2 linked regions of the Danio rerio genome follow. Each later gene encodes a partner of the first gene's protein in a complex. Links are inferred from orthologs where the notes say so. Each region holds a gene or a part of one and is shown on either strand. Other genes may lie near its edges. The genes, in order: stk3 and sav1.

Evidence for each region.
Region 2: the proteins of stk3 (region 1) and sav1 are in contact, whole or in part, in a crystal structure (PDB 6AO5), measured with the Homo sapiens proteins. The link is inferred for Danio rerio from reciprocal best matches to the Homo sapiens genes STK3 and SAV1. Residues at the interface, in NP_006272.2 of Homo sapiens: Trp429, Lys430, Val431, Pro432, Gln433, Gly435, Phe437, Phe439, Leu440, Lys441, Asn442, Leu443, Ser444, Leu445, Leu448, Gln449, Arg451, Leu452, Leu455, Asp456, Met458, Met459, Glu462, Ile463, Leu466, Arg467, Arg469, Tyr470, Ala472, Lys473; in NP_068590.1 of Homo sapiens: Tyr311, Ala312, Arg313, Ala314, Pro315, Asp319, Trp324, Glu325, Phe327, Gln328, Leu329, Leu332, Asp333, Gln336, Leu339, Lys340, Leu342, Phe343, Glu346, Leu347, Ile350, Val351, Met353, Tyr354, Ala356, Tyr357, Arg358, Ala360, Leu361, Leu362.

What each region holds. Positions count from the first base shown.
Region 1 is NC_133194.1:35,269,305-35,280,185, forward strand, and holds the start of stk3 (serine/threonine-protein kinase 3), read left to right. Parts: upstream 1-4,753; 5' UTR 4,754-4,869; coding exon 4,870-4,892; intron 4,893-5,178; coding exon 5,179-5,259; intron 5,260-5,351; coding exon 5,352-5,480; intron 5,481-5,579; coding exon 5,580-5,694; intron 5,695-5,820; coding exon 5,821-5,985; intron 5,986-8,243; coding exon 8,244-8,411; intron 8,412-8,502; coding exon 8,503-8,640; intron 8,641-10,881. Other genes in the region: nt5c1aa (5'-nucleotidase, cytosolic IAa), read right to left, coding at 595-741. UniProt on the Homo sapiens protein: Stress-activated, pro-apoptotic kinase which, following caspase-cleavage, enters the nucleus and induces chromatin condensation followed by internucleosomal DNA fragmentation.
Region 2 is NC_133188.1:40,252,070-40,262,309, reverse strand, and holds the end of sav1 (protein salvador homolog 1), read left to right. Parts: intron 1-298; coding exon 299-763; intron 764-3,680; coding exon 3,681-3,951; intron 3,952-4,562; coding exon 4,563-4,712; intron 4,713-8,033; coding exon 8,034-8,247; 3' UTR 8,248-9,011; downstream 9,012-10,240. UniProt on the Homo sapiens protein: Regulator of STK3/MST2 and STK4/MST1 in the Hippo signaling pathway which plays a pivotal role in organ size control and tumor suppression by restricting proliferation and promoting apoptosis.

The sequences.
Region 1 (10,881 bases):
CGCAGAGAGAGGAATTATACACATGGTGTTGACCAGCTGCCTGTTGCACACGCTAAAGGAGCCTGTCAAAGTGCATGTAAAAGTTTTCTAATGCACTAAAATCTGTGGTAAAACCTCTTTGGAAGCAGTGTCATTACTTTGATAACCCACTGCATATTACAGATGGTATTTCCATATCTTTATGGCGGTGTTAGTAGAAGTCAAAATAAGCAGTGGACGACTTAAATTGATCTGCACCTGCTGCACCTCAGATGGCATTATCTCCTTACATTAGGACTGTTACCTAATAATGCCATCAGCCCCTCCTTTTCCATGAAACCTGCTCTGTTTCTGGCTTATAAACATTGACACCACAACCAGGCATCACAACATGAAAGCCAACAGCTACTTATAATCATATTTCACATAATTACACCACGCTTTGACAAAATCCAGGTGTCAGAGTGGGAAAAGTGAATCAACACACACATACACGTGGACTACTGTATAAGCAAATCACACCATCAAAGGTCTGAAATTGCCAATAAAAAGGACAAGGGCAATAGGAAAATGGCATCACAGATGAAATGCAAACTGATGGAGAACATCACTTACTGATTTGGGCTTCTTGGAACCAACATTTTCAAGCATATCCTTGTTGCTGTCCTCCCAGGATGCTTTGGTATCCCCGTTTGAGGCCGATGGGCAAGTGTTGGGCATAGGCTCTTGCCCCTTCATGACCTGAACAGGGTCAAGACTCATTCTTCCCTACTCTTATCATCAATGGCACACTGTGATCCAGAGCTGCTTCACGCTGTACTGTTAGCTCTGCTCTCATGCACACACACTCGGTGTATTTCCCCAATGCCGTATTCCTGCTTCAGCGTCTAATGACTGAGTGCTCTGGTTGTCTATATCCTCTCTGCTCTGCCTGCAATCTGCTGCTGTGACGCGGATGATATCTAACCCCTTCTCTCTCTCTCACTCTCTTTCCCTCCACATTTATCCCTCGCTCATGCACATACTGTCCTCCTCCCCTTTCCTCTGTATCATGCTATCGGAAATCCGCATGTGCTCTCAGTCAACAGAACGCAATATTACATATTCTGATAGGATCAGCCAATGAGTAATGGGTTTCCCTGACAGCTGTCCTTCCCAGTCCACATACAGTTTGTCCTGTAGAAAGCAGCCCAGATAGATAGATAGATAGATAGATAGATAGATAGATAGATAGATAGATAGATAGATAGATAGATAGATAGATAGATAGATAGATAGATAGATAGACAGGCACAGTCGAACGGACGGATGGATGGATGAATGGACAGATAGATAAAAACACAAACTCAACCGTTGTTTCTCCTCACTGTCCCCCTGATGCCGATATAATGGGGTGAAAGAGCCCATAACCCAATAATCAGTTGCTAGGCAGCGCTTCGACCCCATGCAGGACCTTGCCAGAGATTGGCTGGTTTCTTGCAGTCCTGACAACAGCCTGGGGCCACGAGGGACACAATATTATCCACACTGTCCTCCCTCTGCTGGCTGATGCAAGAACTGCATCATCTGTGCTCAAATGAATACAGTATGTTTTGTGCATAATCCTTTCCGTTTAAATCTAGACTACTAAGACTCTTTGCACTAGAAAATATGAAGGCATTCATTTAAAATCCTAATCTTCTAAAAGGATTGTTAGGCTGCATTCATTAGGCCAAGTGGCGCTGGAAATACTTCCCTAAAAGACATATTCATGCTCATGTCTGTCTGTTTCTTCTTATCCCAAGGTTCACATAATCATGGATCCAGGCTGTATTTGGAGCAGATGGTTGTTGTGGTCATTGATGAGTCAAGAGTGCAAGGTTCTTCCAGTGGCAGACGAATCTCTGCATTGATCCCGTCGGCTAGTATGAACACCTGAACATTGACCTGCACCCTCTCCACAATAGATGCGCATAGACTGCAGCTTTGCCCTTTTACATTTGGTCAGAGGAAAACTAATCACCTCGGCTAAGCCTGATTTATCCAAAAGTTTGTTCTGCATTTCCATCAGTTGGTGGAGTTCTGTAACTGTCCACGCCTTCTGACATTTGTGTTAATAACTGAGCTGAATCAGTTTTAATTTAACTGGAACTACACATTCAGTACTCACCTGTCTGTTGATATGCTGGAATGTTCTACAGTCTGAAACATTGCCTTTTTATTCTCTTTCCCTTATTTATGTTACGCTGTTTTGGCACAATCTACATTTCAAAAAGCTCTATATATTTAAAGATGAATTGAATGAAGAGACTCAGTGTAAGTGTGTTGTAGACATGGGCTGGTATAAGATTCTGACGGTATGATAACCTTGGATAAAAAAACACCATGGTTTCTCGGTTTCCCGGTATCACGGTATTGTGATTACTGCTCCAAAATAAGTTCTTGTTATAAATGTATGGGTAAAAAACAACTTTTTCCCTCATTGAACACAATATATTTTATTTTGAGAAATATTTAAAGTATTTTGGACCACTAGCTTTTGCTGTAAAAGTTCATTTTCTGCTGAAGATATCGTTGCCCTAAAATTTTTTCTTAAAATAGTTGTCAAAAACATGAAAAAAACAAACATTTTTTTAAGTCTTACATATACCTTAGAAATGGTGTAACAGGAAATTTTGGTGGTTTTAAAACCTTGACTTTTCCAAATTTAGTTATCACCCCATGCCTAGTGTTATGTTGTTTATACTTGTCGATAGACATGTGACGAAAACCGTTTTCGAAGTATACCCCGGTTTGGAAAAGTCAGGTTTTAAAACCAGCTAAATTTTCTGTAAAACCGTTCCTAAGGGATGTGTAAGACTTTTTATTAACTTTTTTTTTAAACAACATATCTCAATGCAGAATATTTGCCATTTAAATGTTTAATAAATCAGTTTTTTTTAAACAAATGAAGACAGCAGAAGCCAATGATTACTTTTCCAAAATATTTTAAATGTTACTCACAATAAAATACTTTGTGTTCAAAAGGGAAAAAAGTTTTTGTCCTTTACCCAGACATTTAAAGAGCCCATATTATACATGAAATAGGGTCATATCTTGGTTGTAAGGGTCTCCAACAACAGTTTAATATGCATGCAAGGTCAAAAAACACTTTCATGGTCTTATAATCTGCATTTATTTTTACCTAATTATCCCAGCGACTCCTGTATGAATCGTCCAGTGATTCATTTGTTCCCAAACCCCTCCTTAGCGCGAAGCTAATCTGCGCTGATTGGACCAATGACAGTCTGTCGCGATTGGTCGACTGCCTTCAGTCAGAGAGTAAAATGCACAACAGCTAATCAGCAATATAAAAGTAATCACAGTTCATACACGCTCGATGGTGTAGGCGTGGAGTTTAGCTGCCAGTGGGTCAATGTAAATACAGACTATGGACTTGAAAATACAAACGACTGACTATTTTATTGAGCAAAAACTCCAAAAGCAGTTGAGGAGATCTCCTAGCTTCTCACTCTGCTCTTTTCACAGACACACACACACACACATATTGCACAAACACACACACGCACTTAACCCTGCTCCGAACGACAACGCGCGCGCACACACACGCACACACACACACACAAACACACACACACACCTCCGGACGACAGCACACGCACACACAGACACACACACTACTCCTCGTCCACGGAGCTCCGTTAACGCAGCACGCGTCGCGTTTTTAACGTGACTTTGCACGCGATAAGAGAATATAGCCAGTTAACCTGATACAGTACACGCGGTTACAAGTAACAAATCACAACTAAATACATTTGCAAGCTAGAGTCAACGAGGCAACTTTAATCGCACGTACTTACACTTGAGAAATGGAGGAAGAAAAATCCTGACGTCCATCAATAAGTCACTCTTTACTGATCCTTCCTTTAACAAACGCTGATGAAGTATTCTTTGTAGCATGTAGCTTCCAGAAGTTTCCAGTAGTTTCCAACTGCTTGGTTATAATGCTGAGGTTTTATGTTTGGGTAGAGACTCAATATATCCATCTGCAGTGTGACTTCAATCGACCGGCATGTTTGTGTGTGTGTGTGTTTGTGGGTGTGTGTTTGTGTGTGTGTCTGGGTTTCTGCGTCAGAGGGCGGGGCCTCAGGTTTGAAATCTCCCGGGTTTGCGCGTGCACGTGAATAACTTGGTTTCGTTCGTACGTCATGGCGAAACACCTAATGAATCGGTATCAAGGCGACTCGTTTGAAGCACTATGAGTCGACTCTTTTATAGATGAATCAACCGTTTTAAACACTGTACACTAACAGATTTAAGCCTTAGCTGGATACTTCACTTCACTTAGAGCTGTGTTACACAATACATGGAGGGGAATTTTCAAAAACCCATAATATGGGCTCTTTAAAAAGAATATATTTTAGAGCAGTGGTACCGTGTAACCATAATATTTTCATCCAAGGTTATCATACCGTCAGAATCTTATACAGGCCGATGTCTGCTTGTCAATAAAAAAAGAAGATAATATTAAGAGGATAAAACTGAGAGAATGTATGCAAGTATTTCTCAGATAGTTTGTTCGTATTTTTTATAGTTCTTAAAATAAACAAAACAAACAAACTCCGTTCAAAGATACACGCAACTTGCAAGCTCGTCGTCAAACGAGTGAAAATTGTAGTATCTCATACTGTAAAATATTACGTTTGTAGGACTTTTACTTTGACGAGTCGTTTTTCATGGAAAATTACACACGTCAGCTGGCTTCACATCGTTGTTAGCAGCGGCACGGAAAGACATAGCAGTGCTTCCTTAAACTCCAAACAAAACATGCGTTATTGCTTTTTCCCTTAGGGTTTGAGCAAACAACTTTTACATTTTTACGCAAATTATATTTTTATCTGAATAACAAGAATGGAGCATTCGGTGCCCAAAAAGTAAGTCACTATCTCGGCTAACCAGTTAACAGCTAAGCTAATATTTACAGGCCTCATCTGAGCAACGAAACTGACACTTCAGATCGCCGACCGAACTATAAAAGATCGTTTGGTTTATATTTAGATGTTCGTATTTATAACTACATGATCAATACTTCAACGCAGTCTGACTTCATGCAGTTTTGTTATATTGTAGATTCTAGTTTTACGTTATAACTGCTAGTGTGGGATCCAATGATGTTTTATGCATTTAATAAAGTAACGTTTCGACTGTTTTGATCAACAGTAAGCTGAAGAAACTCAGTGAAGACAGTCTTACCAAGCAGCCAGAGGAAGTATTTGATGTTCTTGAAAAGCTTGGAGAAGGGTGGGTAGCATAATATTTGTCAACATAGGTAGTGAATATGAATGCTTATGTTTTGTTTGACACTTCTACATTTCAAATGCACTTTGCTTCAGATCATATGGAAGTGTTTTTAAAGCCATTCACAAGGAATCAGGCCAAGTTGTGGCCATTAAACAGGTTCCTGTCGAATCAGACCTGCAAGAGATCATCAAGGAGATCTCCATAATGCAGCAATGTGACAGGTAAAACAACATACTTAGTTTATATATTTATTATTAATGTAAATTTGGATGTGTGTGAAGAACGTAACAACATTTTCATTCCTCATTGTGTTTTAACAGCCCATATGTGGTGAAGTACTATGGCAGCTATTTCAAAAACACAGATCTGTGGATTGTGATGGAGTACTGTGGTGCTGGATCTGTGTCTGATATTATTAGACTGCGCAACAAAACGGTGAATAAAAATACTATGAATGCACTATATAGCATCATCAGTGTAATTTAAGTTAGATTATTATATCTAAGAGATATTGATGTATCAATAGAGCTTCATAACAGAGACTTTTATTTGCTTGACTAGCTTACTGAGGATGAGATTGCCACGGTCCTCAAATCCACACTGAAAGGTCTGGAATATCTCCATTTTATGAGGAAAATCCACAGGGACATCAAAGCCGGGAATATTCTCCTCAACACTGAAGGTCATGCTAAACTAGCTGATTTCGGAGTAGCTGGACAACTTACCGTGAGTTTTTCAACCTACCTGCTAGATTGCATAGATTGATGTGGTTTTATTTGTTAAAAAATAAATAATATTATAATAAATACATTGATATAAGTAATTTAACTAGGGATGCACAATATATCGGCGGCCATATCTTTATTGCTGATAAATTTTATTTTGTTATTGGTCCGAAATCAAAATTAGGCCAATATCTTAAAGCCGACAGATTACGTAATTGTACAGACCTGCCTGCCTTGCGCATGCGTTGGTCGACCTTGTTCAGACGTGTCCAGTGCACTATAACGTAGCTTATCTCACATTGTTTATTCATCCATCCTTTCTTTGTGTGGTATTGCTGTGCGCAAATAACTCTGTAAGTAACCATATCCCTTATCAGATATGTTTGATAGAGTATCATTGTGTATTTTGGTTTAAATCGCCTCAGGCAAAGTATTAAATGTGTAAATATAATAGCAGCGATGCACACATGCTAAGCAACTCGTTGGGTTGTTTGTAATCTAATATGATTATTTGTTATTATCAACGCGTTGCTTGCCATTCGTTGTTGATGTAAGATTGTATTCGGTTTGATTTTGTTATTTAACCTATTGTTTTTATGCAACGGTCTAGTTGGATGTTAATTTTCTAAGCAATGAAAGGGAAACCATTAAGTTTTGGAATGCTTATTTATGTGAAATCATAAATTTAGGCCTATAGTAGGGTTGTCCACACTCGGTCCTAGAGGGCTGGTGTCCTTTAGGGTTTAGCTCCAACCCAAATCAAACACACCTGAACCAGCTAATCAAGCTCTTACTAGATATACTAGAAACTTCCTGGCAGGTGTGTTTTAGCAAGTTAAGCTAAACTTAGCTGGACACCGGCTCTCCAGGACCAAGTTTGGACATCCCTGGTCTATATAATCACCTTACAATTTTGAAATTATTGCTTTTTTGTTTTGAGTATAGACTATTCAGTTCATAAAGCCCTGCTCACACTAAGATTTCAGCCACAATTTTGTCATCTGAGACGATGGGAAATCCTAAAAGATTCTTGAAATTCGTGATCTTTGATCGTTGGTTTGACATGTTCAGTGACAGATGCTTAAAGCCCGTTGCGATCAGATTTTTTTTGTGACAACAGCTGCAATCTGAGAACCAATAGGACCTCAGAATTTGATGTCACAATCTATGCAACAATTCAAATGACCATGTGAAAATGTCAAAGAGTCTTTTTCATTCTGGTTTTATTATTGAGACACGCCGTGTGCAAAATTGCAGCTACAGATTGCGGGGATAGTGGGATAGTGAAAGTGTCACGGGTGGATGACGTCAAACTCCGGGGGCATTTTCTTTCATGTTTGGTGCATTTTCATTGTCGTTCAGTCTGACTTTATGACAGCTGAGATCTTACAGTGTGGCATGGGAGCCATGTTCGAGCAGTCTGACATGCTACAATCATTTAGGATTATAAAAAAACAATCGCACAGTGAAAGCCGGCCTTAAGATCAGTTCAAACTTTTACAAAGTTTAAAAAAAAAATGAAATCAGTTGTTCACTGTATAAAATATAACATTTTGAGATATTTATATTTATCGGCTAATATATCGGTTATCGGCCTCCAGATCTTTAGTTATTGGTTATCGATATCACCAAAAACCCTTATCGGTGAATCCCGAAATTTAACATTCATATAATATCATTTAACATGCATGGAAATGTGTGAATTATAGTTTTGGGTTAAATTCTGTATTTTAGCTTTGTCAAACTGCACTAAAACGTTCAATAAAAATCTATTTGAAGAAAAAACATTTGATAATGCTTGTTCAGAACATCCATTAAAACATCATTTTACTTTTTTTCCTAAAAAACATAGTACTATATATATTGTTTACTGAGCTAATAAAATTCATTTAATCATAAGCGTTCATAAGAATATTTTCTGTTTTCTTTTTTATTTTATTGGATAAATTTAATTCAGCTAAAAGCTTGCTATTGAAATCAAAAAAACTTTCTCAAGGTAAAGTTTTACAGTTACATATACTATTTTACATCTTTCACAGTTACTTTTTTTTGTAAACCAATGAAATATGGGAGTTTTCCATCAGTGTTTTTTTTTTTTTTGTATCTCAGAAATCTCTGTATTCTGTATCTCAGACTCTTACATGATGGAACTCAAAACTTTTTCTCTCATCGACAGTCATTTATTTAATGTCTCCAAGCCAATTCTGTATATGTCTCATGAATCATTGTAATCCTGTTTGTTTATATTAACCACACAAGGACACAATGGCCAAGAGGAACACAGTTATAGGAACACCCTTCTGGATGGCGCCCGAAGTAATCCAAGAAATTGGGTACAACTGTGTGGCAGATATCTGGTCTCTCGGCATCACATCCATAGAAATGGCTGAAGGAAAGCCTCCGTATGCAGACATACATCCAATGAGAGTGAGTGGAGAACACTGAGAGGAGTCTATGACTTAAAAACATTGAGTAAATGCTGGATGATGGTGACTATATCTGTTTTTTCTGTCATTAGGCTATTTTTATGATTCCCACAAACCCTCCACCCACGTTCCGCAAGCCAGAACATTGGAGTGACGATTTCACAGATTTTGTGAAGAAATGTCTGGTGAAAAACCCAGAACAGAGAGCAACGGCAACTCAACTGCTGCAGGTATGAGAACTAAGAACCACATACAGCGGGGAAATAAGCATCAAACACGTCCTGTTTTTTTCCTGGGAATAATATTTCTAAGGAACTATTGACATGGAATTGAACCAGATTTTGGTAAAAACCCAAACAATACAAACAAAAACAAAAAATCTGAAAAATTAGTTGTATAATTACAATAAAATGACACAATGAGAAAGTACTGAAATACTGAAACGTATTTCACACTTTGTATAAAAGGCTTTTTTGGCGATGCCTCTCATTTGGAGACTGAAGTCGCATGAATTGCTCAGGTGTGAGTTTTTTCAACAGAGTGTAGAAATCTTGATGGTTTCTATTGGATTCAAGTCAGGTGATTGGCTGGGCCATTCTACAGCTAGATTTTCTTTCTCTGAAAGCATTTGAAGGTTTCCTTGGCTGTGTTTTAGATCATTGTCTTGCTGAAATGTCCACCTTGGTTTTATCTTCATCATCCTGGTAATGTAAATGTTGGACTGAAGCAGCTAATATTAATTTACAATGAGGAAGGGCAGAGGGTTGCTGAAAAACTACTGAGATTTAAGCTGCTGTCTGGGCTTTCACTGCCTTTCTACACCTTCCTTTCTTCATGTGTTCAATACTTTTTCCCTGCGTCATTTAATTTTATTTTGCATAACTAAATTTGAAACTAATTAGATGTTTTTTTTGCATATATGTATTTCTTTAGTTGTTATAAACATTTAGGGAAGTCAACGGCACCTTTAGAAATATGTTTTCTGAGAAAAATGGTGACAGGTTCAATTTTTATATTCTCCGCAGTATTACCAACCAATAGTTCCTATTTGTGACTCGTGCAGATACTCATTTATTATTTGAGAGGATGCTTTCCATCAAACCATGATACTTGGATGTTTTTTTAAAAAAAAGTATCCCCAAGAAGAATTTTGTTATTTATCATATATTAAATTGAAAAATCATATATAATGTTTTCAAATCACTTTTATTGTCACATCATCAGCAGCACGTGTGCTATGATGAATGAAAAGCTTTTTATTGTAGAATTAATTTATGTGTGAGTTATGAAGTTAATATATGTATATATGTATAAATGTAATATATGTATATGTAATATATGTTTATCTCTATTAGGGCTGAACAATATATTGTCTCAGCATTGATATCATAATGTGCTCATTTGGAGTTGTCACATCGCAGGAGCTGCAACATTGAGTTTGGATTATAATTTATCATTTGCATGTGTTTTTGAGGCTTTGGATGAGGATATCAAATGTATTCAGGCCGAAGAAATTGCACTATTTGTAACTTTAATAACAATTCATTTTTTTGGATTATTTATAAAACAAAGACTATGCAGTATTTTATTGCGTTTATCTATGCTTGGAGATTACTTACAGATGCACTGCCCTACTGCATCATCCCAATCAATCCAAAATGATAAATTCTTTCCAAAGAGGTATTCAAGTCATCTGGGGCCTCATGTATCAATTCTGCGTATGCACAAAAACTTTGCGTACGCCAGGTTTCACGCTCAAGTTTGCTAAATTTGCTAAAGATGAAATGAACGTGAGAATGTGCGTTGGTCCACGCTATTTTCATGCCTGGCGTACGTGCATTTCTTGTGTGTGTTTGTTTTATTTCCATTGGCGACTCTGAGAGGCAATTATGTTAAATTGCACACCACAAAGCACCTTTGAGCTGTGCAATAGCAGCTGTATGAGACGGGATCATCCGCATGTCTAGCAGGTATATAAGGTTTCCATACCATACCATACAGTTGACCAGCCAAACATTATAGCACAACTTGCAGCGATCACCGGTTTTCCCAATGTAATCAGATCGATCTACTGCACGCACATTGCTATAAAGGCGCCATCTGAAGACAAATTTGCATACCTGAATCAGAAACATTTCCATTCAATAAATGTGCAAATAATATGTGATGCTCAAATGCGCTTAACGTAATACACACACTTATGAATGATTCCTACTTCCTTGTGATGAAGAGTAGGCAAAATCTGATATGTAATGGGTAAAAAAAGAAAAATAAGTTGATCAGACACTGGGTTTGAACCTGGTTCAGGAATGATAGTGTCAAAACATGTTGCCATGCGCTTTATGAGCTACGTCACTCGCACTGCTGAAGTCTGCTCAACTATCACTCTTTTAGCTCATTCCAAGGTGTCCAATGAGACACCGCTGCGTTACCGTGTCAGCTAAACCCTCCCATTCTTTTTTTTCCCTTTT
Region 2 (10,240 bases), on another chromosome or scaffold:
TTAAAGACTTCTTCTGTGTATAATTTTCACAATTTATGATAACATAGCAGTGAAAATGGGATAAATTAGCTCATTTGGGGGTCAAATTTTGGACTTTGTCAGTAGCAGGTTTGTCTTTTGAACCACCCAAACCCCCCTTGGCTACAGGCCTGATTTGTGTTCAGGAAAACAAAGATTTTCATATGGGATTGGACAAATGATGAGTAATAATGACAGATGTTTTATTTTAGAGTGAACTATCCCTTAAAGTATGCATTGATCCACTTACTCCAGGTTTCCCCCCATTGTTTGTTCTCAGATTTGATGCCCTCATTTATCCGCCATCCAACGTTCCTTCGACGCGAACCTCCATTAGTGGAGCCGGTTTCGGCTGGTGTGCCTGGTCCCGGTCCCGGTCCGTACACCACTGGATCTGTTGGAGATGTTAGCGGCCCTAAGAGTTTCCTGCGCAATGCTCCTCCACGGACCCCGCTAGAGGTTTCACGCAGAGAGAGTCACCGTCTGTCTGCCCCGCCACATCTTCATCGTGATTACTCCCCTTCCTCACCATCCTACATCAGCGATGCCAGTTCTGTAACAGAGAACGGAGACAACGGCCCGTATTACTATCCTCCAGAACCATACTACAATAACCAACCCAGACGAGCACGCAGACCAGACCACTTTAATGAGAACTACAGATACTATGACCACAATGAACTCAACTTCCCACGAAACCCAGGACAGCCCCAGACGCCTCAGCCACACAGCCGCCCTCCACCTGGTGAGTTACTTTTGAACTGGTGTGCATTTACACATCACATGCACAGACTTGCACGCATTATAATAGACTCTGCATGGAGTAACAAACATGATTGTCACTCTTTACTATAAATACACTGACGTTTGCTGTGTTTACGAGAACATTTGCTGTTTACTGGATGAGATTCTTCAGGTTCCTCTGACTGAACATAGATTCACTTTCTTTTTCAGCCGAATAATATAAAAAAAGAGGGATTTTATGTAAAATTGGTGGCTCAGTGGAAACACTGTCACCTCACAGCAAGAAGGTTGCTGGTTTGAATCCTAGCTGGGCCAGTTGGCATTTCTGTGTAGAGTTTGCATGTTCTCCTTGTGTTTGCGTGGGTTTCCTCCACGTGCTCCAGTTTCCCCCGAAGTCCAATCGGTGTGTAAATGTGAGTGTGTATGGGTGTTTCCCAAGTTGCAGTTGAAAGGAAATCCGCTGCGTAAAATATATGCCAGAAAAGTTGGTGGTTCATTCCGCTCAGGTGACCCCTGATAAATAAGGGACTAAGATGATGGAAAATGAATGAATGAATGAATGAATATACAGTTCAAGTCAGAATTATTAGCCCCCTGAATTATTAGCCCCCTGTTTATTTTTTTCCCCAATTTCTGTTTAACGCAGAGATGTTTTCAACACATTTCTAAACACAATAGTTTTAATAACTAATTTCTAATAATTGATTTATTTTATTTCTGCCATGATGACTATAAATAATATTTTACTAGATATTTTTCAGGACACTTCTATACAGCTTAAAGTTATATTTAAAGGCTTAACTAGGTTAATTAGGCAGGTTAGAGTAATTAGGCAAGTTATTGTATAACAATGGTTTGTTCTTTAGACTATCAAAAAAAATTGCTTCAAGGGGCTAATAATTTTGACCCTCAAAATGGCTTTTTAAAAATTAAAAACTGCTTTTATTCTTGCCGAAATAAAGCAAATAAGACTTCCTCCAGAAGAAAAAATATTATCAAACATATTTTCAAAATGTCCTTGCTCTGTTAAACATAATTTGGAAAATATTTAAAAAGTAAAGAAAATTCAAAGAGGGGCTAATAATTCTGACTTCAACTGAATGTAAAAGTTTAGAGATTGTTTCTGTTAAATATATTGCATTCTCTTGTTTTTTTTTAAATAACATAATAAGATGACATTTGATCAGATTACTTCTTTTCTTCAGGAAAATGTTAATGAAGATTTGTTTTTGAAACATTTGTGCTTTTAGTAATTCATAAAATGCAATTCAGTGGCTACCAGCATTTTGGGAGTCAAACAAACCATATACAGGTTCAACAAAATAATAACTGTGGCTTCTGACAATACGTTGATGTCTTATAAAGCCAAAATGGTTTGCCAGTGCAAGAATCCACATAAAGGAAGATATTTGAGAGAATGTCAGCAACAAATTGGGGGAACAAATACAATAGGAGTTAGAGCTGCACAATTAACCAAAAAAGATAGCTCTCTATTGATAGATCTTTATTCGACCCTACACCCGATCTTAATTAAGCTTTTTTACAATTTAGCCAATCATATTTTCATGGTCAGGACAGAAGTATAAAAGTGGTCGCACAAGTCTTCACATTGTTGTATATACATTGCTCAGCAACATTGACACCTCCAAATGGTGTTAAAATTGTCACATACAGTATTTATAAGGTATATTTCACCCAAAAATGTCATTTGTCATCTTGTAATGACAAATTTGTGGCTGCGAAATCGCACATGAGCTGACGCACTGTTTGTTTACTAATGAGAGGATGCGTGCATGCCTGCCAATGATGTCTGCTTTTCTTTTAACAAAATCTTCACAATTTGTGTAAGGTCATATATACACCTAATAGTCATACTCTATACTTAATAATATTAAATCTTTATTCTTTGTTTGAACATGAGACTGTGAGAGAAAGCTTACTGGTTAATAAATTAGATCAAAAATATTTTAATAAATATAATTTGAAATCATGTAAAGTTTAATCAAAATTAAAAGAAAAAACAATATTTACCTGCATATATTATGTTAGGGTGTCACAGTGGTGCAGTGGTTGGCATGATTGTCGTGGCATTTTTGTGTGGACTTGTTCTCCCTTTGTTTGCGTGGGTTTTCTCCAGGTACTCTGGTTTCCCCCACAAGTCCAAAGACATGCGCTATAGGTGAATTGGGTAAGCTAAATTGTCCATAGTGTATGAATAGGAGTGTATGGGTGTTTCCTAGTAATAGGTTGTGGCTGGAAGGGCATCGGCTGCGTAAAACATATGCTGGATAAGTTGGTGGTTCATTCCGCTGTGGCGACCCCAGATTAATAAAGGGACTAAGCCGGAAAGAAAATGAATGAATAATTATGGGATGTAGAAATACAAAAAACTTATTTGCATCACTCAAAAATGTTCTAATAGAAATGTTAAAAATCGGCTAATAGAAAATTCAACAATCTTACAAAATTTAAAGCCTTGCTAAAGTCTAAAATAAGAGGTAGGTTGAAATGATTGCTAATTTTTTTTTTTTTTTATGACCAGAAAATCTCATTTTTTTTCTTGTCCTACAATATACATTACACACACATTTTCTCCACTGTTATTCTGTTGCAGTTTCTCATGATCTGTGAGACTGAGAGAAATGTACATTTGTTGTTTGCCCTTTCCTTCACCCTGTGATGATGTGTGTGTGTGTGTGTGTGTGCGTATGTGTTTTTTTCTTTGTGCTGAACTTTTGAAAGTCTACTGGGGGTTTTAGCTTAATATCTGCAGCTGCGACTTGCTGTTTGCTCTTCGTCTCTCTTTCATTTCACTCCACCTCCTTTTTCATTCAAACTTATAATAGCTCATTCTAGAAGCATTTTCCACACATATTTGTAATACTTTCCTGAATGTGTGGGTTTTTTTTTCTTTCTAGCAATTGGCCGAGTGCCAGCAAAGTCAGTGGGTAATCTGACGACCATGAGCGGGGAGGAGGCGGCTCTTCCTCCTGGCTGGACTGTAGATTGGACGATACGAGGAAGGAAGTATTTCATCGATCACAACACAAACACGACTCATTGGAGCCATCCGCTGGAGAGGGAGGGGCTTCCGCCAGGCTGGGAGAGGGTGGAGTCGGCCGAGTTTGGAGTCTATTATGTTGACCACATCAACAAACGTGCCCAGTACAGACACCCCTGTGCACCCAGGTTAGTGTCATTTAAACATACGCTATAATGATATACAGCCCTCATGTATACTTTTCCCCAATTTCTGTTTAAAGAAAAGATTTTTTTTCCCACACATTTCTAAACATAATAGTTTTAATAATTAATTTCTAATAATTTATTTTGTCTTCGCCATGATGACAGTAAATAATATCTTACTAGATTTTTTTAAGGTACTAGATATCAGCTTAAAGTGCAATTTAAATGGTTATTTAGGCTAGTTAGGGTAATTAGGCAAATCATTGTATAATAATGGTTTGTTCTGTGGATAATAGAAAAAATATATTGCTTAAAGGGGACTATAAATATTGACCTTAAAAAATATATACACTTTTATATGCTTTTATTCTAGCTGAAATAAAACAAATAAGAAAAAAATGTTAAAGGAAATACTGTGAAAACTTCCTTGCTCTGTTAAACATAATTCGGGAAATATTTTTTAAAAAAGGGGAAAAAAAAATCACAGGAGGACAAACAATTTTGACTTGAACTGTATATGATATGTGTATGTTCATTATGATAATATATTACTGATTATCTAGACTGTTTGATGCCATTTTGTTTTTAAAATATGCCAACTCTCTTTGTTTTAGTGTGCCTCGTTATGACCAGCCCCCTCCCCCACCCGTCACCTACCAGCCCCGCCCACCAGAACGCAACCCGCCTGTACTGGTACCAGCAAACCCGTATCACTCAGCTGAGATTCCAGACTGGCTACAGGTGTACGCCAGAGCTCCACTAAAGTAAGTTTCACACTCTCACACAGATTGTCCAACATTAAAGGTCCCCTCAAGTGCCTTGAAATGCAGTTTTGTTTAGCGTGTGATGCGATTTTAACTCTAACACAATGATTCTCATTGTGGAAACTCATTTAGCGTGTGGTGGCTTTTGGTGGTGTGAGATTGCTCTTTGGGAGCACAGGGGCTTAAGAAAATTTTGGCAAGTAATAATATCAAACCACTGTGCCATGGAGAATAAGGAATGACCAAAACAACAGTTTAAATATTTAACAATGTGATAGATTGGCCCGTTAGTGCTACCCCATCATACCTATTTTTGTTTCGTGATCTGTTAATACAAAATCACAAGACTTTTTTTTTTGCTGTGTATTCTGGAATTTATTTGGCAAATGTGATTACATTGTAGTTTATCTATGGATAAGTTTATCCTACTCTTTTTTTTTTTGCGATATTCCATATGTGGATGGAAGCTTATAATAGTAATGCTGGTCTTGTCTAGGTAATTTACCTAAAAAAAAAAAAGAATAATTTAAATGACTAGTGTATATGATCCAGTTATGTTCTTGTGTCTCTGAAATCTTATTTACATTGCTTAAATTGTTCGTCCCTTGTTTAGTAGCACTATGTGCCATTTGAGATACTAAAGAGCATTTCGATTGGTCAGACAGTCTGATGAGAAGCTAAAGTGCTCTGTCATGGAAAATTGTTCGGAACTGAGAACATGCATGTTTTGAATGCTTATATCTTCTAAAAAAGATGCTGTCTTTGTTTTAAACGCATACTAGCTTATAGATGACCTTAAAACTAAAATATTAATACTAACACCCAAAAAACTCATTTCGATTTTAGATGGACTTTAATCTGACATAATGTACCATCCAGTCATTTATTGTAAAGGCCTTAGTTTTAATTTGTAGTGTTTTAGTTAGGAAGTGACATGTGATCAGTGTAGGCATGATGTAACTGTAGATTGTTTATGGTTGCTGAACAACATTGCAGCTTGTTGCATTAATATGGAATTCAGCTAACGTGTGGTAACAGGTGGGCAACTATGTATATCAGCACTTTTACTTTTTACAGCTCTACTCTTCTAGACATATTTTTAACACGGTTTATATTTAACTACAATTATATTGTTTATATACTGTTACAGAAGTGATTGTGTTAAATTAGCTTTTTCTTTTTGTCTGGTTTATTTCAATTCAATGACAATATTTTGAGTCCATTTTAGTTGACTTTCCCAGTGATGGATTGCAGCTGGAAGGGCATCTACTGCGTAAAAATGTGATGAATAAGTTGTAGGTTCGTTCCGCTGTGGCGACCCCAGATTAATAAAGGAACTAAGCTGAAAATATATTTATGAATGAATAAATGAATTTTAGTTGACAACAGTATATTTAACAGTGTTTAAGAAATAGACATGTCGATTATTTTAGTTCAATTCTAGTAATTATGTTGCTTAAATATCTGCTCTGTTCATGCCACTTTTTTCAGCTCTGGTATGTGGTGAGTTTTTTGCTGGAGGAATCTGACTACATACTTTATAAATCCCCAGTTTGCATGAATGCAAACTCAGAAGAAGGATCTGGGAAAGTGCTGAAGGAGATGTGGAGAAGACTTAGCAAACCATTTTCACATATTTTGGAGATGTCAAGTAGGGCTGGGCGATTTGGCCTAAAATCAAAAACTAGATTAAAATTTTAACTCTATTCTGATTAATGAACAATTTTTTTGTTTGATTTTATTTTATTTCATTTTTTGCCACATAATTCACTGAGAGGTTTTGTTTAGTAAATAAGCTCACATATCACAAGTGACAGATTGTTAAATGAAGAGTGCATTACTTGATTTTAAAATAATTGAAGGAAACACACATTATCTACAATCTATGATTATTTATTGAACATTAACAATAAACAACTGAATGAAAACACACATTGTCTAAAACCAAGTCACTTTTTTCCTATAAAAAGGGAAAATAAATAATGTTTGGAAACAAAATTAATCGTTTTCGATGTTTTTCATATTGTAAGTCAAAAATAAGCTGCATCTCTTCTAAATAAAATACACCTGTAGATCCTGTAAATAATATTCTAAACAGTCAATTTCTTGCATCTTCTGTAAATAAATAATTTTATTGAAATATTAATTTATTCTTATGGAAAATATGCTGTCTTAGTGCATCTCTAGCGCAGCTTCCAATCATTTTCAATGTAGTGCAAACGTGTGACTTGTAGTTAGGTAATACAAAATATTTTAGTGATGGAATGGACATCTCTTTTACAACAATTTACTTGGAAAATATACCTGTAGCAGCCAACTTTAATGATATAAGACAAGTATTTATTAAAAATACTTCTAGCGTCCAACAAGAAAACTGTAACTAGAAAGCGGCTCGAAACCTTTACAAAATTGGAATGATTTGCTATCGTATCTAATGTTCAAAGGTTCAAGGAGGCCTCAGGGAAGACCCAAGACAGGCTGGTGGGACTATGGGCGTACTCGCACTACTCGCATCGAACCAGGCTGAAGCACGCTTGTCCATCCTCCTGTCTCCCTCAACGGCCTGCACTCTCATTGCATTCGCGACTAAGCACGCTTACGTCATTGATGATGCGCTGTGAGAAGCGTTCTCGCTCAGCACGGTGGACATTTCTTTATATCGTTTTAGTCGTTTGGGATGCAGCGACCCTCAGTGAAATATTTCACTGAAGAGATCAGCCATTTTTGACGCTCATAAACAATCATAATGTCCTCAAGCTACAGGAATTAGGAGGTTTGCTGATGGTGCAGCTGTCGTGCAGTGAGGGGTTTGCGTTTTTAATAATCTACGACAGTTTGCATTCATTGAACAGTATGAATGATTAATAAACCCATATCCAACTGTCCCTTTAAAGAAACGTCTCGTCTTCAGTTTCGGGCTCAGGCGAGCCCAAGTGAATCGAACACCTCTTCCAACTGGGCCTGGTTCGGCCAACTGAACTGCGCCTGAGCCCGATTCAGAGCACTCGCACTTCTCAAACAATCCGGGAAACAGGCCTGAGCATGGTTTGGATGGCATAGTTTGAGTACGCCCTATGTCTCTCGGCTGGCCTAGGAAAAATTAAGTATATACTTTTTTTATGTAATTACATCATAAATAAAAGAAAAACCATCAAACTAAAACCTTTTTTATTAATCAAATATTATATATAATATGATAAAATATAATATAGTAATAAAATATAATATTCATTGTTTTTCATTGACTGTTTCTTGCAACCCATAAGTCTGGTAGAGTCCTGATTCATTAGTCGTGTGTATGTATGTGTTTTTCCGTCCCAGATATGACCACATCCTGAAGTGGGAGCTCTTCCAGCTGATGGATCTGGACACATATCAGGGGATGCTGAAGCTGCTCTTCATGAAGGAGCTGGAGTGCATCGTCAAATCTTATGAAGCATATCGACAAGCGCTGCTGACCGAACTGGACACGCGCAAACAGCGGCAGCAGTGGTACGCTCAGCAACCAGCCAAAAACTACCCTCCAAACATCTGACTGTTTGTTATGACACACTCAGACAGCTTACTTATCAGTGCCTTACACTCTCACATCCGACTCCAAATATAAAGCCCAAAGAGAGACTCTACACAGAACGTGACACTATTACTCTTCTATTATTATACGGCAGTGTGTTACGAGTTTTGACTGTGTGTTGGAAGTGTGTGTGTGCGTGTGTGTCTTTGTGCATATGTTGGCCTGCAGGCAGCTGTGGGTTATGGCAGGACTCAGTCATTCTTTATGGCATTGTCTTTATGGACAATCACTTCTATCAGTTATCACTGATTTATGTTTAATCCTATTTGCAATGATAGTTTCGCTTTTAGGGCGAACACACAAAAATGCATCCAGGTCACATTTCAGGCCGAATTTATAGTTCATGGAAAGAAAATGAAGCCTGGTTTGGATTGTTTAGCATTTAATTAACAAATAATAAATAATAAAAGTCACTATTTTTTTTTTAATCATAGTAATTAAAGTTGCTTTAGTATTCTGAATGTTGAGCAATCTTCATGGTGCTTTATTTTCTTGAAGTAAAATATGACCTGGACATTTTTGTAAGTTCGTCCTTGATTGTTTGTGTGGATTCCTTTTTTTAAGGAATTAGCTTCTTATATTTAAGGATAACATTTTGAGGCTGAATCGTCACTTTGAATGAAGTGAAGGCGTTTTTAAAGAGGTTAGTGCTTGTTTTTTCCCCAGTTAAAAATGTGTGTAAAAAGTATTTTCAGCATCATCACTAAATAAACCAGGACCTTGTATTGTGTGTGTGTGTGTGTGTGGGTGAGAATGTTTTCCATATTTCTCAGTTTTCTGCATAATAATTTTGAATAAATTCTTTATATTTACTTACTTTATTATTATTATTATTATTATTATTTTAAAGTTGTTTTTAGGGGTTTTTGACCTTTAATTGGAAAGGATGGTGGAGGTTACAGACAGGAAAGTATTGGGAGTAGAGAGAGGTGGAAGGGTCGGCAAAAGACCTGGAGCTTGGAATCGAACTCGGGTTGCCGTGAGCACCATGGTGTTATAGACCATTTCAAAGTGGTGATGTCATTGCCTCATGAACATTTCCTTCTTGTTGTCAAACTATTTCTAACTGTAACAAGAGGGGAGTCAATCATCACAACTTGATGTTATAATAGCTATCGTAACTTTATTTGTCAAAATGTAGCTCTTATTGGATTCTCAAAAGCAATAGAAATTTAAAATGTAAAACAGGAAATACGTCAGGACCATTGTTATTGTTTACAGTACATCTCTCAAAATGGTCTATGTCTGCGCACTTAACCACTAGGTCTATGGGCCTTTTTTTATGATTATAAATGTTAGCAAAGGTATGAACTTATTTAAGAAACTCTTTCCTTTCACCAAAATAGGCTCATTTTATGACTCCCTTAGAGATTTCAATTTTGAATCTATTCAGCCAGTTCTGACGGAGACCCTTTTAGCTTAGCTTTGCATAAAGCTTTAAATCTGATTAAATAAAAAATGTAAATACTTAAATGTATCAAATGTAATCAAATTAATTCAAATACATACATTTTCCAAATGAGAGTATTGTTTCTAGCCATTTCTGTCAGTCTTGGGACACAATAGCTGTTTCCATCCACCTATTTTGGATATGCACATAAAAAAAAAAAAAGTTGATGGAAACACCAAGATGTGCAGAAACTTTGAAAATGCACAATTGAGTAGGATACATTTTTATTCAATAGGAAAAGGTGCACGTACACTAAGATGGATACACTTTTACCGAACAAATTCCAGTATGCAAATTAAAAAGGGTCATGCGATTGTTATAAAAAATCATGTGATGATAAAAATGTGTGTGAATGGACAAACCAGCAGGCTGAGCACACTGTAAAACATCTGAAATGTTGTTTTGGTCATTCTAAAATGCCTGAGTCGTTTCAGTATAAGTGTTAATATATTATTAATGACCTCCAGAATCAAGAGCGTCTGTGCTCCGCGTCTAAGCCTGGTT